3 linked regions of the Drosophila melanogaster genome follow. The protein of the gene in region 3 interacts with the protein of the main gene of each other region in a pairwise test. Each region holds a gene or a part of one and is shown on either strand. Other genes may lie near its edges.

The links. The genes of interacting proteins can lie anywhere in the genome.
Region 1: the proteins of Gbs-70E (region 3) and Pp1alpha-96A interact in a two-hybrid assay, tested with the Drosophila melanogaster proteins (2 studies listed by BioGRID).
Region 2: the proteins of Gbs-70E (region 3) and Pp1-13C interact in a two-hybrid assay, tested with the Drosophila melanogaster proteins (one study listed by BioGRID).

Annotation. Positions count from the first base shown.
Region 1 is NT_033777.3:24,516,758-24,522,875, forward strand, and holds Pp1alpha-96A (protein phosphatase 1alpha at 96A), read left to right. Parts: upstream 1-1,512; 5' UTR 1,513-1,901; coding exon 1,902-1,950; intron 1,951-2,086; coding exon 2,087-2,435; intron 2,436-2,838; coding exon 2,839-3,124; exon of another isoform or gene 3,125-3,182; coding exon 3,183-3,330; intron 3,331-3,585; coding exon 3,586-3,737; 3' UTR 3,738-5,574; downstream 5,575-6,118. Other genes in the region: DZIP1, read left to right, coding at 1-563, 619-775, 834-1,280; CG13622 (uncharacterized protein), read right to left, coding at 5,833-6,118.
Region 2 is NC_004354.4:15,358,557-15,362,635, reverse strand, and holds Pp1-13C (protein phosphatase 1 at 13C), read left to right. Parts: upstream 1-1,574; 5' UTR 1,575-1,845; intron 1,846-1,914; 5' UTR 1,915-2,298; coding exon 2,299-3,207; 3' UTR 3,208-3,535; downstream 3,536-4,079.
Region 3 is NT_037436.4:14,547,932-14,552,932, forward strand, and holds the start of Gbs-70E (glycogen binding subunit 70E), read right to left. Parts: upstream 3,045-5,001; 5' UTR 2,606-3,044; intron 2,229-2,605; 5' UTR 2,159-2,228; coding exon 2,067-2,158; intron 1-2,066.

The sequences.
Region 1 (6,118 bases), on a different chromosome or scaffold from region 3:
CTGGAAGAGGTGGTCTATCACCTTGAGGAGGGCTACAAGGAGAAGCTAGGGGCACTGGAGCGAGAGCTCAAGCAGCTGAGTGTTCAAAAGGTGCAGCCAGAGCCTGTGCAGACTGTGCCAGTTGCCTCGAAAATACCCAAGCCGGTGGTTCGCAAGGAGGAAACCAACATTGATCGGATTCGCAAGCAGGTGGAGAGCGAGTTCCTCAAACAGAAACATGACGATGACACCTATTCCATTGAGGAGGCGCCACGAAAAGGTTCGGAGAAACCATTCCCACAGCTGGTGACCCAAGTTCAAGTGGTGGAAAAGGAGCAGCCAAGTGCTGGAAGTTCGGACAGCAATCCGACTTATACGAAATCTCCAAGGGAACCTGCTCCTAATAAGCAGGAAACGAAAGAAGCCACGGACGTAAGCGATAGTCTCAGCCAAGAAGAGACGGAGAACGAAGAGGAGCGCAGCCTGACAGAGGAGGAGGGGACCGATGTTCCCACCTCCGGGTCGGAAGCAGCACGAGAGGATCCAACGCCAAAAACAATCAAGCCTTCTGGAAGAATCATCAAGTGAGTGTTTCGATGTTAAGCTTTCTTAGAGTAATAATAATCCACATGTTTTAAGGAGCCCTCAAAAACCACTTACTCGCAAGGATGCCCGGAAGATGGTCAACCGGAAGTTGATGTCTCACGGCTTCGATATGAAGTCCAAAGGTATTTCGCATAACTCTTTGAAGAGAGTGAACTCCGAGCTGACAGAGCACCGCAACAAACTGAAACTGGTAAGCCTATAACTGCCAAAAACTAATGAACTTTTGACAATTCTGGAATACCCTTTAGCAACATCCACATTTTTACGCCACTCGAAATCGCATCCGCAAGTTTGTCGAAAAACTGTGCTCCGCCAAGTTCTCGGAACGCGCGGAAATGTTGCTGAAGCACAAGAGTCCACTCAAGCCAATGGAGGTTCCAGGCAAAGGGATCCCGAGGTCTGCGATCTCTGAAAAGTCTGAAGAGGATATAGCCAGCTCTCAAGGCGAAGAGCAGACGGATGAGCAAACGGATAGCAGCGAACAGCAAACTCGAAGCCCCAGTCCTCAAAGACTAGTTAGTCGCGATTTCAAGGCTCGTCTGGAGGAGATCCTGGTCAAGCCGGCGGCCACTATTCGAGGAGCTTCCAAGTCGTCCCTGAGTTCGAGGCCAGTTCCGCTGCCCAGGAAGCGGGTGATGTTCAACACCACGGAGGACGGGAAGAGCTTCAATGACAGCGATGATAACCTAAAATGAGTCAATAAAGATGATATTATAATACTTTGGGTATAAATGTCAACGATACGTTTAATAGCCAATATATCATAAGATAATTATATTCCTTTATGAGTACCTATCACCTGTTCAATGTACCGTACTTAACTAAAAAATATTGTTTTTTAAATGAATTTGCATATTCCGGTCACACTACCTTTTACCGATAGCTGCGCGCCGTGCAATGGATAGGCAATCGATAGGCAATCGACTCGCGCTGTAAACAATCGACGTCACTAACCAACGTAGATGAAAATTTTTTAGTACGTCGCGAGTAAAACGTGCATTAAATGCAATAAAAGGGCAGCTGGCTAAGGATCGGAACGATTGAAGTCAGCCAACCTCAGAGGGGTGAGCAACCGAGGCAGTGAATCCGCGAATCCGTGCATCCAGCTGACCAAAGGGCGAGATTAGCCCAGCACCGAGTTTCCATCCGCACACGGACACGGCGCACACACACACAGGCACACGCAGCCCGTGCCCATCGATGAAATAACATACATAACGAACGTATACCGAAAATACACGGGTTACGGGAAATAGCAGTTGCTGCAATCGGCGGATAAGCGAACTTCAGGAAGCTGAGCAAGCGGGCCCACAAAGATGTCGGATATCATGAACATCGACAGTATCATCTCGCGCCTGCTGGAGGGTAGGTGTTAGGGCTCCAACTTTTGATTACCTTGCCCCCACCCATCATCACCCATTCCCCACATGCCTTGCCACCCAACCACCGCCCACTCTCATCACCTTAACGTAAATTTTCCCTGCTTGGTTTTCCATTGCAGTGCGCGGTGCACGACCGGGAAAGAATGTTCAGCTATCAGAGAGCGAGATCCGCAGCCTGTGCCTCAAGTCCCGCGAGATATTCCTGTCGCAGCCCATACTCCTGGAGCTGGAGGCACCGCTGAAGATCTGCGGCGACATACACGGACAATATTATGACCTCTTGCGCCTGTTCGAATACGGCGGCTTTCCGCCCGAGTCAAACTACCTGTTCCTGGGCGACTATGTCGATCGCGGCAAGCAATCCCTGGAGACGATATGCCTGCTGCTGGCCTACAAGATCAAGTACGCGGAGAACTTCTTCTTGCTGCGCGGCAACCATGAGTGCGCCAGCATCAATCGCATCTACGGGTAAGTGGGGAGGCGGCTCCAAAAACAGGATGAAGCTTGATGAAATGGTTAGCAATCTGTTCAGTTCAGCACCGAAACAATTTGCTTTCCTGCTTAGATTACTGAAACTCATTTGATTACAATTTATATTATTCTTACGACTCGTATTTACTTCTGATGACTATGTACTTTTATACATGCTATAGAACTTATAGTTGTTTATTGTTTACGTGAGCTTTAAAAATTTCCCAGACATATTGATGTCTACTTATGCTTCCAAGCTTATTAATACTTTCTAGTTTATTGACGCACACAACGATATCCATTACAATTAAATTAGCCATACTTCAAATACATAAAGTAAATGCCACATTCTATAGCAATAATCCATAAAATTACTCAACTAATTGCACTTAATTGGCAGGTTCTATGACGAATGTAAACGTCGCTACACCATCAAGCTGTGGAAAACTTTCACGGACTGCTTCAACTGCCTGCCGGTGGCCGCCATCGTGGATGAGAAGATCTTCTGCTGCCACGGTGGCCTGAGTCCAGATCTGTCGTCCATGGAGCAGATACGACGCATCATGCGTCCCACAGACGTGCCCGATCAGGGACTGCTGTGCGATCTGCTGTGGTCGGATCCGGATAAGGATACCATGGGCTGGGGCGAGAATGATCGCGGCGTGAGCTTCACATTTGGAGCAGAGGTGGGTTCTTCGCATTACACTGTTCGCCACAATGTTGTTTATGCATTCGCTCTTGCAGGTTGTGGGTAAATTTTTACAGAAGCACGAATTTGACCTGATCTGTCGGGCTCATCAGGTAGTGGAGGACGGTTATGAGTTCTTCGCCAAACGTCAGCTGGTGACGCTCTTCTCGGCGCCCAACTACTGCGGGGAATTCGACAACGCGGGTAAGTGATCATTGTTCGGGGACTTTAGTCGGAGATAAACCTTGTTTATTTGGAGAACAACCACGTTGCACCCTTGTACTCGGTGATTTTGCCTGCCGATAAGCTGTCGGCAAGTGAAAGCTGGCAACCAGATTTAAATTCAACTCGGAAAATGCGCATTTAAAAATAATCAATAATCAATACCGAGAATGAAACTACCTATGCACGACACCCGCTTCTAATGAATTGATTAATCATTATTGATTACGTTTACAGGTGCCATGATGTCCGTGGACGACACATTGATGTGCTCCTTCCAGATATTGAAACCCGCCGACAAGCGACGATTTGTTTATCCCAACTTTGGCAGCTCAGGACGTCCTTTGACACCGCCACGCGGAGCTAACAATAAAAACAAGAAAAAATAAACACTGCACACCTCGAACGAAGCACAACAACAACAGCAACTACAAACGGCCACACACACAAAACACAAATAGGGAAAACAGAAAGGAGAATCCGTGTGTCCACATTCAACGGAAAGCGCAGAGAGTTTGTTTTTATCATAAACGTGTAATCGAATCGTGAGCAACGTTATATGGGGAATATGAATCTACACAAATTAGCCTATCTTTCATTTGAAAAGGAAAAAAAAACAAAAACAAATAAGGAAAACGAAACGAATGAAATGAAATTAAGAAACCAGAAAACACAAATCGAGACACTTTAGTTCAAACTAATGGTAGTGTAAGACACTGCATAAGCAAGAATATTTTATCTCCTAATGTATTAATTTTGTTATAATATTTCCTTGCGCAAAACCCACACACTCACACACACACACACACATACACATGCTCAGATCATCCGTACAGTAGGTACCATAAGTGCACGCACCGGTTGTATTTTAATTTGCATTTCCAACTCGCACAGCATTTTAATTATGTATGCCGATCCTGGCGGCACCTTTGGCAAAGGTCTTTAACCACACTTCCCTTCTTCCTTGTTTTTTTTTTTTGCGTATCTAAGGGAATATTAGCAAATGGTAACAATGTTAAATTTTATGTTAATTAAACTGTACGAGAATGCTTTTAAATGTGAGTTGAGGTTACTACATATTACATATGTATGTACTCGAAGCACGATTTATTTTTGTAATATTTGACATCGATACATGTTTACTTAGTTTTAAAACGAGGAAAGCAATTTTAGTTGCAAGCTACAAAAGCTTGAATTGTTTACACCAAAAATATTAAAATAAACAAATATTGTGAATATTTTTTAACTGTTTGCATTACACAAACACACACATACAGGCAAGCACGCACACACGATTTTAAGGAGAACCCTGAAAAGTATGTTTATATAGACAAAAATAAACCCGAATTGAAAATCTACCTTAAGGCGAACGCTTTTGAGCGGCACTGTGTGCTCTCTGCTGATGTCAGCGACGAGGCAGATAATGTTACCCCCTTTTAATCCCCCGCCCAGACGAAAGGAAAGCAGCGGCCCCAGACCCATTAAGTGCATGTGAAACTCACACGAAATATAGAAAAAAAAATCGAAACAAAAATAAGCAAGTAATAAAATATTTGTAAACAGCAGCGCAACAAACACAGACACAAACACTGTTTATCGTACAAGTGTACACTTTTGTGTATTTTGCATTCTACGACTAACGTCGCAACATTCTAGTGCTAAAGGCCGCCACATTCAATTACAAGTATTATGCCCAGGCAGGCAGGCAGCGATCCGGAGCGATGCAGCCGGACGCAAGTTACCCAAAATGGTTTCGTTTGTATAATCCAATCCAATCCAATCCCCGCCCGACAACCAAGCAACCTACTAACAACAATCGTGTAACCTACGGACAAAAAAAAAAAAACAAAACCAAAAGCAAAGCATGAGTCCTCTTCTATTTCACACTCTAGTACTCTGTTCAATGTTGTAATGAATTCAACGTATATTTACGACTATATATGTACTTGTAATAATGCGATCCAGTACGACATCGGCTGTTTTCAACCCCCAAAAAACACAAGTCATAAGAAATCTATAACGTAATATCGTAAAATTAAAGTGTAATTGACCCCAAGAAGGAAATTAGAAAAGACAGATGGGGTAAATTTATAATGCATTCAAAGCGTAAATTGCAAAAAAAATAAAATACAATAAAAAAATAACAAACAAAAAAATCATTTAAAAAAGAGCTAAAAAATGAAACAAAAAAATACAAATTAAACAAAATGAACACAATGACGAAGCACTTGTAACAAAATAGCACTGTTTTATTAAAAAAAAAATTGAAATACATACTAGCAATAAATATGAAATTCGAGATGTGTTTTTACTTGAGTGAAATGCATGTTAGTTTCTTGTTTAAAAAAGCAAATCTATTATTTATTGTCTATATAGTTGGTGTTACAATCTAAAGCATTTCGAGGACTTTAAAATCTTATTTATAACTTTACTTTATGTTGCTTAATATATTGCACTAAATTTACTTTGTATAGCACTTTGTGTTTAGTTATATCGCAGTGAGCAACTCTTTCCCAAAGGAGCACATGTGCCACCCGTGCCCCTGCCATGTCGCTCATCCTCCTGGAGCCTCAGCTGGAGCAACTTCTGCCTTAAGGCATAAGGTGTGGTGGTGGTGCTGCTGCTGCTGCTCCTCGTCACTTCCTGTTGCCTGCTCTCATTGGCGCGATCTTTGTTCCACTTGTCCGAGTTGTTGAAAATGATTTTATCATATGCCCGCTGCAGGCGCAGCTTATCCTGGCGGACATCACTGAAGCATTCGCTTGTGTTC
Region 2 (4,079 bases), on a different chromosome or scaffold from region 3:
AAAAAAAATAAATAAATAAAACAACGACAAGTAGGAAAAAAGTTGGCCGCTGGCTGCGCGTCTGGCGGATATAAAAATAAAATAAAATCTATTAGGTGGCGAACCACCCCACATTTATGCGGCAATTTGTTGCTCCTTGATTGTGTCTGTGTGCGACGGGGTGTCCTTTCCGTATGTGCGTGTGTGTGTATGTGTAAAAATAAGTAAAGTAAAGTGTATCATTTTCCCATTTGGCGACCCCTTTTCGCATTTCGCCCCTGTACACAGGCACTTCTCGCACTTTGTCTCAATTCCCAAAACTGTCGCCCCGGCCGTTGCAATTTATGAAGATTTGTGTGTGGCCAGGATGCCAGCGCAGGGTGGGATGCCCAGGATGCAGGACTCTGAATATCACTGGCTCAGAAGCTCAGGGCTCAGCACTCAAGAGTCTTGGCCCACTCCCACTCCCACACGGTTTCGTTTCGACTGCACTTGTTTTGATTTGTTTGGAATAATAACAGATGCTTGCCGTTCATATTATTCATTGTGGAAATTATTAGCGCTTGACAATAAAAATGGCTATTTGAACAGCACTCGAAAGTGAGTGCGCCCCCTTACTCCCCCTCTCACCGACAATCCCCCGCCGCACAACACAAATTGCAATTTGTGCAAATATTTATGTACATTGAAAATTACTCATTTGTGTAACACCAATTAATTTCAACAAACAGCGGCGGGCGCACAACAATGGCCAAGCCATTTATAAAACTTGGCCGCTTGTTGTTGGTCCCTGTTGTCCTTGTTGTCCTTGCTGCCTTGCTGGTCAAACAAATGGGGGAAAATGAGGTCCTTTGTTTCCCCAAAATAAACGATGCCGCTGCTGTTTGAATGTTTGAATGTTTGCTTTGCGGTGCGCCAGCACACGATACACACTGTACAGTGGAGCCCTTCGCCAACAGCCGACAAAGCAGTTCAATCAGCTCGAACAGCTCGCTATTTATGTAATATACTTATGTGTACATATATATATGGTATATATATGGTATGTATGTGAAAAATGCGGGGTTATTGCCTCATTATTGGGACACTGGAAAATACCCTGTTTACACTGCCATTTTTCAAGTTGCGCCAACAAATTGCAGCTAATTAGTGGCCACACTAGCCGGGAAATCCGACGAAATAAGCTCATATACAATATACCAAAACCGGGGTGCACAGCAAATGGCACTCGGCAACTTCAAGTTTTCCACTCAATCAGAGATAATATGAACAAATGGGCGAGGGTCAGACGAGGGTCGGCACACTTTTCCAGGGGTGACCAACTTAAATAATACCTTTCTAGTACTGCAAACGCGGGATGTAAGACAGCTTATAAGGATGGTTAAGGTATCGTTTATTTTAGTTTAAAACCTAGAACATGCGAAGAAAATACAAATAAATGCGTTTATATAATATATATATTTTCTATTGTAAAAGTTTCTGAGAAATCACTATACCATCACATTTCCATGAAACACGAACTGGAACAATGCGATGTAGTCACTGACTTGTCTGTCGTCGATTTGTCATTCGTTTAGTCTTTGAAAAGTATAAAGGTCACCGTTCCGGAATCAAAATTTTTTTTAAAATTTTTAAGATACCGCAAAAGCGCGAATGTAGAGTATTAAAGTGCGTTTTAGTGAACAGCACATGTGTATCCGATCAGATCCTCAATTTTCATTAACTTCCGGAGAAGCGAAATCGAAAAAAAAAAAACACGATCTAAAGACGACTGCTAGTACAGCACGCAGAGGTCAAATGTCTAGATTCTAGAATTTAGATTACAACAGCTGGACTTTGCACACCACTAGAAGGAACTTAGAGAAGGTAGGGTAATCGATTTCAATCGATATAGCTAATCAAGCTGTCAAACCTTTTTCTTTTCACTTTTTCTAGAAGCGAGAATTTGTCCTACATTTTTATTAGGCATTTTGTGAAAGAATCAAAAGAAAAAAAAAGCTGAACGCTAAACAATTCACCGCCACATATCGAGAAGAAGCAATTCCATTCGGTTATGTTCTGGTATTGAGCACCTGGTATTGAGTAAATCGAAAAATTCACAAATCATCACAAAAAGTGCACGTCATCAGGACATACATTTTGCTGCACCCAAGAAGCTAAGTTTGTGACCCAAATAGACCAGCTCCGCCGAGGATCCAGTCCCATTCTCCAGACAGCCGCGATCTCAGGGTGAGTCCCTGACAAGCAGCCCCAACGGCGTCCCAGACGATTGTCCTATCCAGCCCGGACAACGCAGCCGCGGCCCCCAAGACCGAGGCCATGGCGGAGGTTCTCAATTTGGAGAGCATAATTTCCCGTCTGTTGGAGGTGCGTGGCGCACGGCCTGGCAAGAATGTCCAGCTGTCGGAGGGTGAGATACGGGGCCTGTGCCTCAAGTCGCGCGAAATACTGCTGGCACAGCCCATACTCTTAGAGCTGGAGGCGCCGCTCAAGATCTGCGGCGATATCCATGGCCAGTACTATGATCTGTTGCGTCTGTTCGAGTACGGCGGCTATCCGCCGGAGGCTAACTATCTTTTCTTGGGCGATTACGTGGACAGGGGCAAGCAGTCGCTGGAGACCATCTGCCTGCTGTTGGCGTACAAGATCAAGTATTCGGAGAACTTCTTTTTGTTGCGCGGCAATCACGAGTGCGCCAGCATTAATAGAATCTATGGATTCTACGACGAGTGCAAGCGCAGATATACCATCAAGTTGTGGAAGACATTCACGGACTGCTTCAACTGTCTGCCAGTTGTGGCCATTGTGGATGAGAAGATCTTTTGCTGCCACGGCGGACTGAGTCCGGATCTTACCTCGATGGAGCAGATCCGTCGTATTATGCGTCCCACCGATGTTCCCGATCAGGGACTACTCTGTGACCTGCTGTGGTCCGATCCGGACAAGGACACCATTGGGTGGGGCGAGAACGACCGTGGCGTTAGTTTCACCTTTGGCGCCGAAGTTGTGGTCAAGTTCCTCCAAAAGCACGATCTGGATCTGATCTGTCGTGCCCATCAAGTCGTCGAGGATGGTTACGAGTTCTTTGCCAAGCGCCAATTGGTCACTTTGTTTTCCGCCCCCAACTATTGCGGTGAATTCGACAATGCTGGTGCCATGATGTCCGTGGACAATACACTCATGTGCTCCTTCCAAATCCTGAAGCCTGTCGAGAAGCGCAAGAAGTAGAGGACAGCGAGATCTGTAGACGCTTCTAGATTTATTCTTATATATTGTAACACGCGGCACGCGACTCATTCACAATATCCTACACGAAATCGGTTCGAAATCATAATATCCACATACATCTCTAGTCAACCGGATCGAGGGAAATGGCTCAACTACAACGTATACCTCCATGGATCCTAACTGTCTTCAGAGGTATCCACTAGCCAATTCTTGCATATTGTATGATATGTGTAAGTTCACTGAGATTTGAACGCAGAGCTTATGCTTAGCTAATGCAAAATAACGCCATATGCGACTTTTACAAAAATAAACTTACATTTAAAATTTCAAGTGTTTTCATCTAATTGTTGTTTTTTTTCGATTTCCTAATTAATCTTGTCAGCTAGTTTATCCAACTCTTAATTTAAGCACCTTTCCCAAATGTGGAAGCCCTGAAAAGTGTGCTACGAATTCCGGCGGAGTGAAAAGTGGGTGATCCCCCTGAAAAAGAGATTCACCTCCATCTGTTCGTGTTCGGTGACAGAAGTCACCGCCATATTATATTAACAATGCTTAAAAATTAACAAAGCACACGCACACACATGCACACATGCACACGTAAAATGAGTGGGCGATATGGGGGCGTAAGAGAGAGGGAGCGAGCTGGCAGACAGACGACAAACAAAAAAACAGAGACAAAGATACAACAAATTGCGCCAAAAACGCTTTATTATGTCAAAACAAGATGAAAAAAAAAACAATAGAGAAAAGGAACCCAGTGTGGCAACAACAAATTACATTATATATATAATGAGGTCATTAGCGCGTAAACAATCAGAAAAGAAAGTGGGCAATGAAATACAAAGGGTGGGAGCGAGATGGCGGTAGAGCGT
Region 3 (5,001 bases):
TTCGGAGGCCCATGTACTACTTGTATTTGTACTTGTACTTGTGTAGTCCTACTGATACGTGTATATTGTCTATAAAGAAACATCGCTGATAAGAGGAGTTGCGCGCGACCTCCTCACTTAATTCGGGTTTGCCGTGGGTGGGAAATGTATAGTATGAATATGAAGCATATTTGTTTGGGTTCTTCAGTGAGTCATTTCTAAAATTGTATAGTCGGAGAGACTCGCTGGTCTTACTCATTTGGCACAGTTCACATCCCATTTGTAGTTATCATAATTTTTCGGCTAGACATTCATAAAACTAAAAGTCAATGGTTGATAAGGATCGTTCAATGGGGTTCGCGTGGACTTTTGCATGCTAAACATATGTTGACGGCATGCTGATACGTCTTTTTCGGCGTGGGCCTGGCTATGGGAACATTTCCGTCTGCTCTGCTGTTATCATCAACTTTTTTTGGCTAATTGGCGCTGTCTGGAGACAATATCAGCATATTTAGTGCTTGAGTTGGCAACCAAAAGAATTCAATCATTTTCGATGACGACCCGCCCAGTTACGTGGGTAGTTCTAGGTATTGGGTGGGGTAAACTGTTGTAAAATCACGCTGTGAAATTTCAAGTGAGTTGACGCATTAGCAGCTGAGTTACTTGAGTTGGTTGGAGTACTCGGTTTGTTTGAAGGCATGCCGCTCACGTGCCCCGATAAGAAATGTTCATAGTTGTAGGGATCGCAGTAGGGCTTTCGCATGTATTACCTCCCACAGTTTTATCTACTGAACCTCTTTAATCTTAACTGATTATTTAGTTTTTTACCGGTTCTTGTAGCGTTTGTTTTGCTTGGCCATACTCTAGATATAGATTTATTTTTAGCTGAAGTCCTCATATATACGAATATAAGTTATACGAATTTTCGGTATTGTATATTTATCATTCCCAAAAATAAAATACTCTCAACAAATATGATGAAAATGCAGCGCGTGCAGCAAATGAAGCACGGCAAATTGCTTTAATTCAATCAATTGCTCTCGCCTCTGTATAAATATAATATATAGATATTACCCTTCTTCCCTTTACCAATTTGTCAAATTTTCGGCTTGCTCGTGTGCCCCTGAGAAAAAAAGTTGCGTCAAGCGCCACGCGCAAATTGTCGCCAAGCAAATTTTTGGCGTCACCCCCACGACTCGTGAACGAATCTTCAAATCTCAGTTGGCTCCACCAGCGAAAGATCACCTCAGAATCGGCGAAATGTTTGTTTTGGTTCAGTATTCTGTCTTGCCTTGATCTTGAATGCTTGCTTTTCATATTTTGCCAATCTGTTGTTGTCAACCAAAAACGAGCCTTAGCACGAATATTTTTAGTACCTGCATTCATTGTGTTTTCGAATAGTTCTCAGGTTTTAATACTATGTATTGGGTAAGACATGTTTCCTGCCTTTGATCAGGTGTTAAAATTTCCATAGACGACACTTGAAACAGGTGTTTCATGTGAATCAATATGGGCAGCCCTCGAGAGATCGATAATATTCCTTTTCTGGATTGTGTAAACAACTGAGTTCTTATATTCATTAAATGGAATTACGGCATTCCGGTCTGTTTATTTTGTTAATGTGGGTTATGTTTGGGTATTTTGAAATTTGTTTTAAATTTGAATGTTTAAAATTATTGTTTAAATATTCGCCAGAGAGAACGCCTAATGCAAAAGGGTATTAATCATTTTTATCTGTTATGTATTTTTTATCTCTCAGTTTAATTCATTTACTATCACATGGTTTTTCAGGTTATCAGACATTTATATCGTTTCTCTTATTAACACGTACACCACTTGTTAAATTCATAAAAGATGATGCATCAGAAAATGCTTCTAGTTCCTTATCAATCGATAAGAAAGTTAAAAAAATATTTTCTTTCGACATGAAAAAACCTGAGAATTGGTACTCTTTCAATGATGTTTGGCTATTTAATTTGTTTTGATTGGCTGCCGAAACTCGTGGATTCACTTAGAGCAATTCTGTGTTAAATTAGTCCAATTGCTGGCTATATTTATTTATGAGTTATATACTTTTGTAAACTTACTTCAACGATTGACGGGGATGTCCGCTCATGAAGTCCGCCAGAAAACTAACGGGTGGACTGTGACTGAATATGGGCGGACTGTGCGAAATCATTTTATATATGGCTTCGATCTGCGCTGATTACAATGATCTCTACAAACAAGGAACTTTGGTATGGAAGCCCCTGTGGAAAAATATAGAAAATTAACGATTTGTTTTTGTTGCTAATCGAAGCGCGGCAATAAATGAACGTTTAATTGGAAAGTAATGTGTAAATAGAATGCATGATCCGAATATATAATATATGTTTATGAAATTTCATATTAATTGCTAATCTCAGGTGGAATCGGAATTAATGATGGTATAATATAGCAATACCATTTCCATAAGAGATAACATTCGAAACGTTGTTAGTTTGGTCCAAATGCATGTTAAAATCAGTTTGATTCGAAACAAGGTGATGTAAATGCTGATACCCAAAATAATAAAATGCCCCCCTTCTTATGTTTTATAAAGTTTTTCATGATATGTTTATTGTGTAGTTTTAGCTTTACAACTAACCGTTAATTGTTATCTCCACTCTGTTTTCCGCTTCACTTTTGACTTCTGGCTAGGAGGTAAGGAACTTTTCTTTTTCTTGTGCAGTCAATCCACTTTAAATTTTACTGTGATCTTTCTTTCTTTGATCTTATTTAAATTTTTACTTTTTCATTTGTACATCACGCGTGAGCGTCAGACAATGAAAAACGATCGTTGGGACGGAACCTTAATTGAATTTATTAAAATCCTCCGATCGGGGCACTTTTTTCGTGGTCACACACACAAAACGACGAACGATTTTTAATAGATTTTTCGCGGACTTTGCTTAAGTGTAGCTAAATTTTCTTGTGTCAATTATTTAACACGGACAAAAAAACAGCAACTAGTTTCCGTCGCGTTCCCCGCTTCGTTCCGTTCCTCCTATGAACCGTACGCTTCGACGATGCGAAAACGAATGAAAATGTTTGTTGCTGCAACTTGCCGTTAAGACTTGATCGGGGCGACAGAAAAAGAGAGAGAGAGAAAAAGAAAAAGAGAGAGATTGGTTGTTTGAATTCCCTTCCAAGACATATAGACATGTTAGTGGAGCGTTTGTAATGTTATCAGAATGTTATATATTCAAGAGGCCAGTATATAAAAACAGAAAACAGAAATAACAGTAAAGCAGAATAAAATAAAATCATCCCATTTTTACTACTAATGAACGACCACATAAAACAGTTAAGTTTTCTGCTCTGTTAGTACTTTAAAGGGTATACATAATTCAGCGTTCTGAACTCGCGTTAGGTTTCTAGAATAGCCCCGGTCTCTCTCTCACTCTCTCTCTCTCTCCTGATCGACGTGGCTTGCATATTTTGATTGCATTTTGGTATTCCGCAGTGATTGTAGTTGTGGTTTCGATTTAGCGTCGGTCCTAGTTGCTTTGATTAGTTTTGGCGCCACTGGCGGTGACAAAAGTCAAAACGGGTGTCAGCCCCTCGAGACATGATCACATGCACGGGAAGCATCCCATCTCCCAAAATCAAATTTCCCACTGAGCCTCGTGGCGCTCAAGTGAATTTCAAGGAGTTTGGCAAACACTTTTTCCGTCTCAGCTTTTTAAATATTTATCTTATCGAAGTCGATAGGTTATAGCCTCTGGTCTGTTCAGTTCAATATTTATAGCCTTACGAACTAGAATTGGTATTATTAGTTAAATTGTTTTTTATTATAAAAGATATTTCACACACAGATTTATAAGGGCCTCTTCCGCACTCAATTGAATATGGGACATTATTCACCACTCGACTCATTTGTGAGTGGGTTTTGGTTTTATGTGTCTGCCCACGCATTTCTTTTATGTGAGGGTGCTCCCCTGACATATGTAAATCAATTAGGCCTTCCATTAGGGTCTCGTGAATGAGACACTTTTAGTCTATTTTCATTGCTGAACTTATAAAAAGCTCTTCGAATTTAATCGATTTTGGTAATAAAAAAGGAAAATATGCAACTATATTAATTGAAATTTTTTATAAATAATAAATACTATAAAACCTAAGTCTATGTCTCAAAAAGTACTTTATCTGCTTTGATAAGTTATCAGCTGATTATAAATGCATTCGTATTAAAAATAGTCCAAGTCATTAGTGATTATAGCTTAAAATTCCTCATCAATCCCATAAAACTCGCGCGTAAGGCCATTATTAAAATAGAAATCAACACCTAAACCTGCGTAAGAGGCTCAAAATTTCAAATACTCAACTAATGAAGCATTGAAATTGATTTTCCTCGTCGCTTTTTCTTTTCCAATCTATGCATGTAGAGTTCAGGCCAGTTTCGACCCACATGATATCTGTCGTACCCACATCAAAACTGTCCCAGACAAGCGGAAACCGCTGAATGCAACCAAGTCTGCTCAAAAATGCAGTCTCAGGCTCGACTATTCGGAACTCGAAATTGTGGTTGGGCCTCCTTTATATAGAGACTGTATATGTATTTGAGTTTTATCTATGCTCTATTTTTGGTGTGCGTGCTCGGTGTACATTCACTCATGGCGGTTCGGTGCATAGGCATGGACATTCGAGTCTTTTTCTTTTTTGATCAGGGAAATGTTTTCGTAATGCCTGATTTGAAATCACATCTCGAAGCCCATGATAATGCAACTCTCTGAAGAGATCACGCTTTTTGTCTCTCAAGAGCCTCAACGACTGTTAAACAAAAACGTACTTTGAATGCGCACTTTCTTCATTTCTTCTTCGACTGCCAACGCAGCATCCCATTGAACCTCGCTGATGAAGGGGGTTTCTGCGGACAAAGGGGTTTCGAAAGGGGTTAGGGGCAAAAGAGCCGGCCGGCTAAGTTGCTTGCCTAGTTGAAAGCCGGTTTCGAGAGATCCCTGCGTGCATACAGAAGTGGTTACTTGAGTGCCTCGTTGCAGT